Saccharomyces cerevisiae S288C: one gene and its partner. The gene in region 2 interacts genetically with the main gene of each other region. Each region holds a gene or a part of one and is shown on either strand. Other genes may lie near its edges.

Region 1 (3,756 bases), on a different chromosome or scaffold from region 2:
ATAGGTCTGGAGGATCCAGTTTCGAAGAACCTTCTGTATTGTGCTCATAGTTGTTTATGGACGGTAGTGAGTCGTTTAAAGCGTACGAATTCAAGATATCGATTTCATTCTGGAACGTATAGTAAAACAATAGCGATATGGTAATGAAAAGTAAGAGAACCGATCGTACTCTTCTGAAAAGAGAGTATACTAATCGCGCTATGGACATAAGGTTTTGCTTATAGAGTAGTGGCGGCCTTTTTCTAGTTAACACTTGCGCTTCACCGAAATCTTGGGCATTTTAAAGCTTCCAGCTTCCTATTTGCCTGTTCTTAAATTTTCCAGCTCTTCGATTTTCTGTTTTTTTTTTCACTAGAATAGGAAAAAGAGCCATTAAATGAACGCAAAAATTTAATATACGAATAGCGCATATTGCACTAACGTGAGGTGTACATCATAATGATATGCGTATCTTAAAACATGTATGTGTATATAAATATATAAACGTTATTCGTTGTGTGAAAGTTCTTGAACGTGAAAGAAAGAAAAAAGATGAGACAAACAAGGCAACCGTATTCAGTTGTTCTTCTTGGTATTTGGGTCGTTTTCATAGATTCTATCATTATCATCACCTTCGACCTCCTTGATGAAATGTTCAACTTCCTTAACTTGAGCGTCCCAGGTCTCCTTAGCATCTCTTAACTTAGGATCAAACAATGAGTCATCTGGTCTACGGTAAGAACCCCCTAGTCTGTCCCACAGAGTGGTGAATTGACCGTAGTTGTAGTTGAAATATAGATGGTGAACCGTGTGGCAGGCAGTACCGTTGACGGCAGGATTGTTTGATAGGTATTGACCGTCATGAATCATAACAGTCCAAAAGTTAACAAAAGTGAACAGAATCAAATAAGAAACCTTGTGTAATGGCAGAATCAATGGGTAGATGTGGTACGAGATGGATTGCAAAAACCCGTCTACAGGATGGAAAGAATGAGATGCGAAAGGTGTGCAGACCAGCCACTTGTGATGAGGCTTGTGCAGAGCACGGTAGACCCTTGGCCAATGCAACCATCTGTGCGCTAAATACACACCGCAATCAGTGAAAAAGATGAAAGTGAAGTACTCGATAATGAGCTTCCTTACACCGTGGTTTTCATAATCAATCTTCATGTATAGTTTAGAATGGCCGTTCAATTCCATAACAAACCATGGAACGGTCAACATCGACATCCATGGGATAGCACTGACTGCCAACTTGATTTCCATTGCCATTTGGTTTTTCAAGTAACGAGGATGGTTGAAAATCGACTTGTCAAACACAAACACGTAGCTGAGACTAGCCGTGAATAAGTAAAGTAGTAAACCAAAGATCGTAACAATAACCCATAGTGAGAGGAATTCTCTCAAGATGCTGGAACGAGGCAATAGCGATGCAAAAGACGTCGTCGACATATCAAACAGGAATGGCACCTGCCCGTAGAACCTTCTACATTCTTTGACGGCATTCTTGGAGTTCAAAGTCTCCTGCAAAATCGTAGAATTGCTGAACCCACTGTTCAACCCTAGCAATTTCTGCCACTTGACAGGAATATTAGCTGCCAACGAAGCGGGCAGAACTTTAGCGTACAAGTCGTCTAAGACATAATGGTCAGCGACTTCTAAGACCAAATCCATATCTCAAATCTAGACGAATATTTTTCTTATTATCTTTTTTTACAAATGCAACAAACTGACCTCCTCTGCAACCACTTCAAAGAACAAGACAAATGTAAAGAATGAATGAACAAGTGAATGAAAAAACGAATTGATAAGAAAGATAGAAATCCGCCTCTAATATATACCGCGATGTTTCTTTCGACCGTTACATAATAGCAGCAACAACAATACCCGATCGCTGCTGAACCTCTTGTTTCAATGCACCTGCTGTTCTTCTTCACCTTCTATTGTGCCACTTATACGAGCCTGAATTTTTCGTTTATCGCAGCCATCGGCCTCGTATACACCCCGGTTGCCCTGGGGCGCAACTAAACGACCGAAATAATGCCCGGGAGTTTTCGGGTGGTCTGCCCCGGGCACCGATCTCGGTCGTTTAGGCCGCAGTGGGTCGTGCCACACGGCAGCGATGCAAGGGACAACGCGTCGTAACTTGCGATGCCCGACAATCGCAACAAAAGGCGTCGTTTCGCGGTTTTTTCGTATCATTTTTTTTTTCAGTTTTTCTTCTTTCGGCTATGAAAAAAATGGCAGAGCTGCCCTAATCTATTTTTATGGATGCCCTAATATATTGTCACTCTGTACGTAGGGCTTCCAGAATGCCCTTTCAGGAAGGATTCTAGCATAATAGACGCATCATATATTATAGCGTAGTGGTGCCAGATGCTGGGCTGTAAAAGGCTGTAGCAGTAACTGTAGTGTACTAAAGGCTCAGTTTTTTTTTTTTTCTTCTTTTACGTAATGGACGAGGTTGACGATATTCTAATTAACAACCAGGTGGTGGATGACGAGGAGGATGACGAAGAGATGCTGAGTGGGCTGGAAAACGACTCAAAGCAGGACCTCGAGGGGAATGATGACGGTGGTGAAGATGAAGAGGATGACGATGATGATGATGAGGACGATGATGATGACGAGGACGAACGAGAGGACGACGATGAACAGGAGGACGACGATGGTGAGGACGACGCCGCAAGAATGGATAAGACTGCTACACCGACGAATGAGCACCAGCATGATGAGCAAAAGGCTGCTGCTGCTGGTGCTGGCGGTGCAGGCGATAGTGGCGATGCTGTTACTAAGATTGGATCCGAGGATGTGAAATTGAGCGATGTTGATGGAGGAGTGGGGTCCAGGGAAGCATCTTCCTCTACACACGAAGCCTCTGCTAATGGAGAGGTTTATGAGTACTATAAGCACATGTTGAATGCCGCACAGATTGCGGATTCGTACAATATCTACCCCACGGCAGCCATACCCATCCAGACGCACGTCAATGCGTTGGCCGTGTCCAGGGGTCTCAAGTACCTGTTTTTGGGCGGTAGCGATGGATACATAAGGAAGTACGACTTGCTGAACACGCTTGAGGGGAAACTTTCTCTAACTATCCTGCAGAAGCATTCGTTGGCTGAGTCTATTCAGAACGCGGGTATCTTGCAGTCGTACTGGGAAAATGAGATCCCGCAGAAAAAATCAGAAATGAAACTCTCCGCTAATAAGACAGATTACGAGCCCAAAGTTAGCCCCGTTCATTCTTTGGAAGTCCAAAGCGAATGCCTCTTTATACTGAGCGGGCTACAGAATGGTGGGATTACCATGCAGGGCGTTCGCTACATGGAGGGGAGCATTGCGCACTATTTTAAGGGCAGGAATGGACATACCCAAATCGTTAACATACTGAGATTAAACGGTCAAGAGGACAGGTTTTTGAGTGGTTCCTGGGATAAGCGTCTTTTGGAATGGGATTTGCAGACGGGTGACATAGTTAATGAGTTTAAAAAATCAAGGTCTGAATTGTCATCTTTGGAAATGCGGCCGCTGTACTCGTCCGTGGATGTGTCCGGTAACGTCAACAGTGGTAAAGAGAATGAAAATGCAGATGACGATATGGATTCTCTGTTTGGTGATGAAGACGAAGACGAAAAGCAAGATGCTGGCAACGAACCCGTCGAGACGGGGGATGGTTCTAATGGTGAAGAGAACAAAGAACAGATATCTGAAGAATCTTTGAACATAGTCTATGATGAATCCGTTTTTATGACCTCAGGGTTGAACGGTTCCGTG
Region 2 (3,758 bases):
ATTGAATGCGGAATTATACATCAAGTTCCAGATCAGCTAGGATATTATCTAACATACCCATATCTTTTCTGTACTCCAAATACCCTACTTGTTTTAGGTATTCTAAATCGTCTTGGTTTTCGAACAGCTCCACATCATCCGGTTCAAAAGAATATTTTCGGAGCAAATAGTACCTAATGTCATCCACTAGTTCAATAGTATCAGTTTCCTGGCGGAGAGAAATTCGTTGTGAACTCAACATAATTGCCCTTTTAATCTCTGGATCTTTATATAACTCTTGCAAATGTATAGCTATAAATTTAGCTGCAAATTGTTCTAAGCGTTCCACTCCTATTTCCCATGATAAATAGAGTACGTCAAAAACATTGTATTGCTGAATAAACTCTTTTGATTGTGTTATAATTGTAGAAGCGATAGTTTTTAAGCGGTCTTCTAAAAGTATATCGGCAAGTAACAAAACATCGACGGCATACATCCAAGGAATGTCTGTATTATCTGCATATAAGTAGCGGAGAATAATTTCGGCAACCTCAAACTCACAATTGGGTAATGTCAGCTGTGGAATGATACTATTATACTTTCCTGTAACGTGCTTGGCTTTGATATATGTAACTTTCTCCTTGAAGTTGTTTGTGAACATCACCTTGAAATATTCTGCGCGGCTCAAAACAGCCAGGTGACAAGGGTATATTCGAATGGCTCCATTTCGGTTTTTTACCATAAGTTGAACATCCGGATAAGCTGGACAGTTCATCAAGGAAAAAACTCGTCGTTCACTATTAGCAAGATCAACAGTAGATCTAAAGATACAATTGTTCACAAATATTAAAAGTTGACTTCTTGCAACCTCGGTAAACTTATATTGGTAATCTGACATTAACCTCGACTTTTCCGTAGGATCGGCGGTATGCCTTGCTTTGTCTAAAAATTCGGGCAATAACTCAATATCAAATTTACTAGATAGCTCTATAAGTTCTTCATATTGTCCCGGTTCAATTTGGTGCAGGATCGGAATTAAGTAAAGAAATTTCAAAAATATGTCAAATATATCTGGGCGCACTTCAAGAGAAACAATTTCATGCTTTGCCCACTCATTCACCATTTTTTCTGCTAGAATTTCGCTCCTTGCACATAATAAGAACTTATGCGCTGTGAACAGTTTTCCATTCGAAACTCTGAATGTGATATCTCTTTTAAGGAAGCCTTCGTCATTATACATCGATGAGATATGAGTAGCAAAGGGTTGCTTGACATCTACAGCCTTGGATATATCATAACTTAAAAGGGTATCTCTGATAGTATCGGTCAATGCTCCATAAATACATCGAGCTCCTTCATATCTGTCTCTATCACAGACGGCTCCTCTCTGTAGAAGAAGTTTCACGACTGCTTCATGCCCGCAAAGGCTAGCCAGAAAAAGTGGCGAATTGTCAAACTTGTCAACACTATTCACATTTACTCCCGTGGAAATCAATCTATCAACATTGTCCATATCACCAGTGCGGCATGAATAGCACAGTTCTTCAAAATTTTTGTCCATTAATTTATCTGCCATAAATATGCCAAAGGTCGTTTTCAAGTGGTAGTGTACAATTTATGACAAATCTTTCCTGTAGTTTTTTTTTTCTTGTATTTTTGTTTATTGTCAATATGACCATAGAGAATAGTAAGTAAATTGAGTGTCCACATCTACGTAGTCCACGTATTATTATTTTACTTAAAAGGGATGGGTGTTTTAGGAATTCAGAATAAGCGATACCGTTTCTAAATTCTCAATTTAGAAGGTTAGGCAGGAATTGAGTTTCAATATAACCTGTTAATGTCCCTTTTTTTTTATCTTCTATTCTTGACGTCGTTTTATCTCCTTCAGGGTTTCCTGTTTTCCTTCTTGTTTAGCATTGCCTAATTGCTAAACGAATCCCTTTGTTAAACATTTGTAAACCGGAAAGTTGGAACAAATATCTACACAAATCAAATAGCCTTTCTATTTCATTCTAGGATTAAGTCAGCAAATATTGATAAAGTTGTGTTAATCGTATGAATTCGAAGCACATTTCACTACAATGAGACTCTTCATCGGTAGAAGATCACGGTCGATTGTAATATCTTCCAACAACTACTGTTTATCCTTCCAGCGTTTGCGCAGCATACCAGGTGCCAGTTCTCAGCAGCGTCAATTAAGTAAAACTCCTAGCGTAACAATCAAGTCCTACCCTGACACAGATCTTTCAAGTGATAGTAACTATCTCGAAGTCAAAAGTTGCATATTTAATGGATTATTAGGGCTCGTTTGTCTTAATGGTGATATATATGTTGCCGTCATATCTGGTGTTCAGAATGTTGGGTTTCCTCGATGGAAACTGATAGATCATCAAGTTAGGCCTTCGGAGAGCATTTATAAAGTATTGGATGTTGACTTTTACAGCTTAGAAAATGATGTTTTCGACTACCTCCTCTGCGAGAGATCAGAGCAAAACTATGATAAATTGATTCATGAGCATCCTTGCGGCCCCCTGAAAAAACTGTTTAGTGATGGAACATTCTACTATTCTAGAGATTTCGACATCTCTAATATCGTGAAAAACCATGGTTTATCACATAACTTAGAATATACCGTAGATAATCAAGATTTATCATTTATTTGGAATGCTAACTTAGCAAGTGAGGTAATCAACTGGAGAAGCAAGATTTCAAATGAGGAGAAACAACTTTTTGCCAACGCAGGGTTCTTAACATTTGTAATTCGGGGTTATTGCAAGACAGCATTAATAGAAGACGGCCCAAATACAGCCTCTATAACCATTATTTCCAGAATTTCGACTGAGAGCAAGCAGGATACGCTAGAATTGGAGGGTATTAGTGAAGATGGGAGAGTGTCGCTATTTGTTGAGACAGAAATTGTAGTAACCACAGAAAAGTTTATTTTTTCTTATACTCAAGTGAACGGAAGCATTCCTCTTTTTTGGGAATCTGTAGAAAGTCAACTGTTGTATGGAAAAAAAATTAAGGTAACAAAAGATTCTATTGAAGCTCAGGGAGCTTTTGACAGGCATTTTGATAATTTAACCTCAAAGTATGGTGTTGTGAGTATCGTTAATATCATAAAACCTAAAAGCGAATCACAAGAAAAGTTAGCACTGACGTACAAGGATTGTGCTGAATCAAAGGGAATAAAAATAACAAATATAGAATACAGCTCAAGCGTTCTGACAAAGTCTCCCCACAAATTACTTTATTTATTAAAACAGGATATTTACGAGTTTGGAGCGTTTGCCTATGATATCTCTAGGGGCATCTACTTTGCAAAACAAACGGGGGTATTAAGAATAAGCGCATTTGATTCAATTGAAAAACCTAACACAGTTGAAAGGTTAGTGAGCAAGGAGGTACTTGAATTAACCACAAATGAAATTGATGTATTTGAATTGACTTCCCCATTCTTGGACGCACATGATAAGCTATGGTCAGAAAACTATTACTGGCTTGATCGAACGTATACTAAGCACACGAAGAATTCTGGTAAATATACAAAGGTTTATTCGAAGTTATTTGGTTCCCGAGTTAGATTATACGACCCGCTCCATATCTACATCTCTCAGTATTTAAAGCAATTAAGGTCAAAATATACGTTTGAGAAAGACATCTCAATTTTTGCAGGTACATTTAATATAAGTGGTAAAATTCCAAAAGATGATATAAAAGATTGGATATTTCCAAAATCAATGTCCAAGGAGGATGAAATGGCTGATCTTTATGTT

The links.
Region 1: mutations in INP51 (region 2) and ERG3 together harm fitness more than expected from each alone (negative genetic interaction), as found in Saccharomyces cerevisiae (5 studies listed by BioGRID, with this or other methods).

The regions. Positions count from the first base shown.
Region 1 is NC_001144.5:251,758-255,513, reverse strand, and holds ERG3 (C-5 sterol desaturase), read right to left. Parts: upstream 1,654-3,756; coding exon 556-1,653; downstream 1-555. Other genes in the region: putative mannosidase MNL2, read right to left, coding at 1-208; SAGA complex subunit SPT8, read left to right, coding at 2,434-3,756. UniProt on the Saccharomyces cerevisiae protein: C-5 sterol desaturase; part of the third module of ergosterol biosynthesis pathway that includes the late steps of the pathway. ERG3 catalyzes the introduction of a C-5 double bond in the B ring to produce 5-dehydroepisterol.
Region 2 is NC_001141.2:351,737-355,494, reverse strand, and holds the start of INP51 (phosphoinositide 5-phosphatase INP51), read left to right. Parts: upstream 1-2,063; coding exon 2,064-3,758. Other genes in the region: YIL001W (uncharacterized protein), read right to left, coding at 14-1,555. UniProt on the Saccharomyces cerevisiae protein: Controls the cellular levels and subcellular distribution of phosphatidylinositol 4,5-bisphosphate (PtdIns(4,5)P2).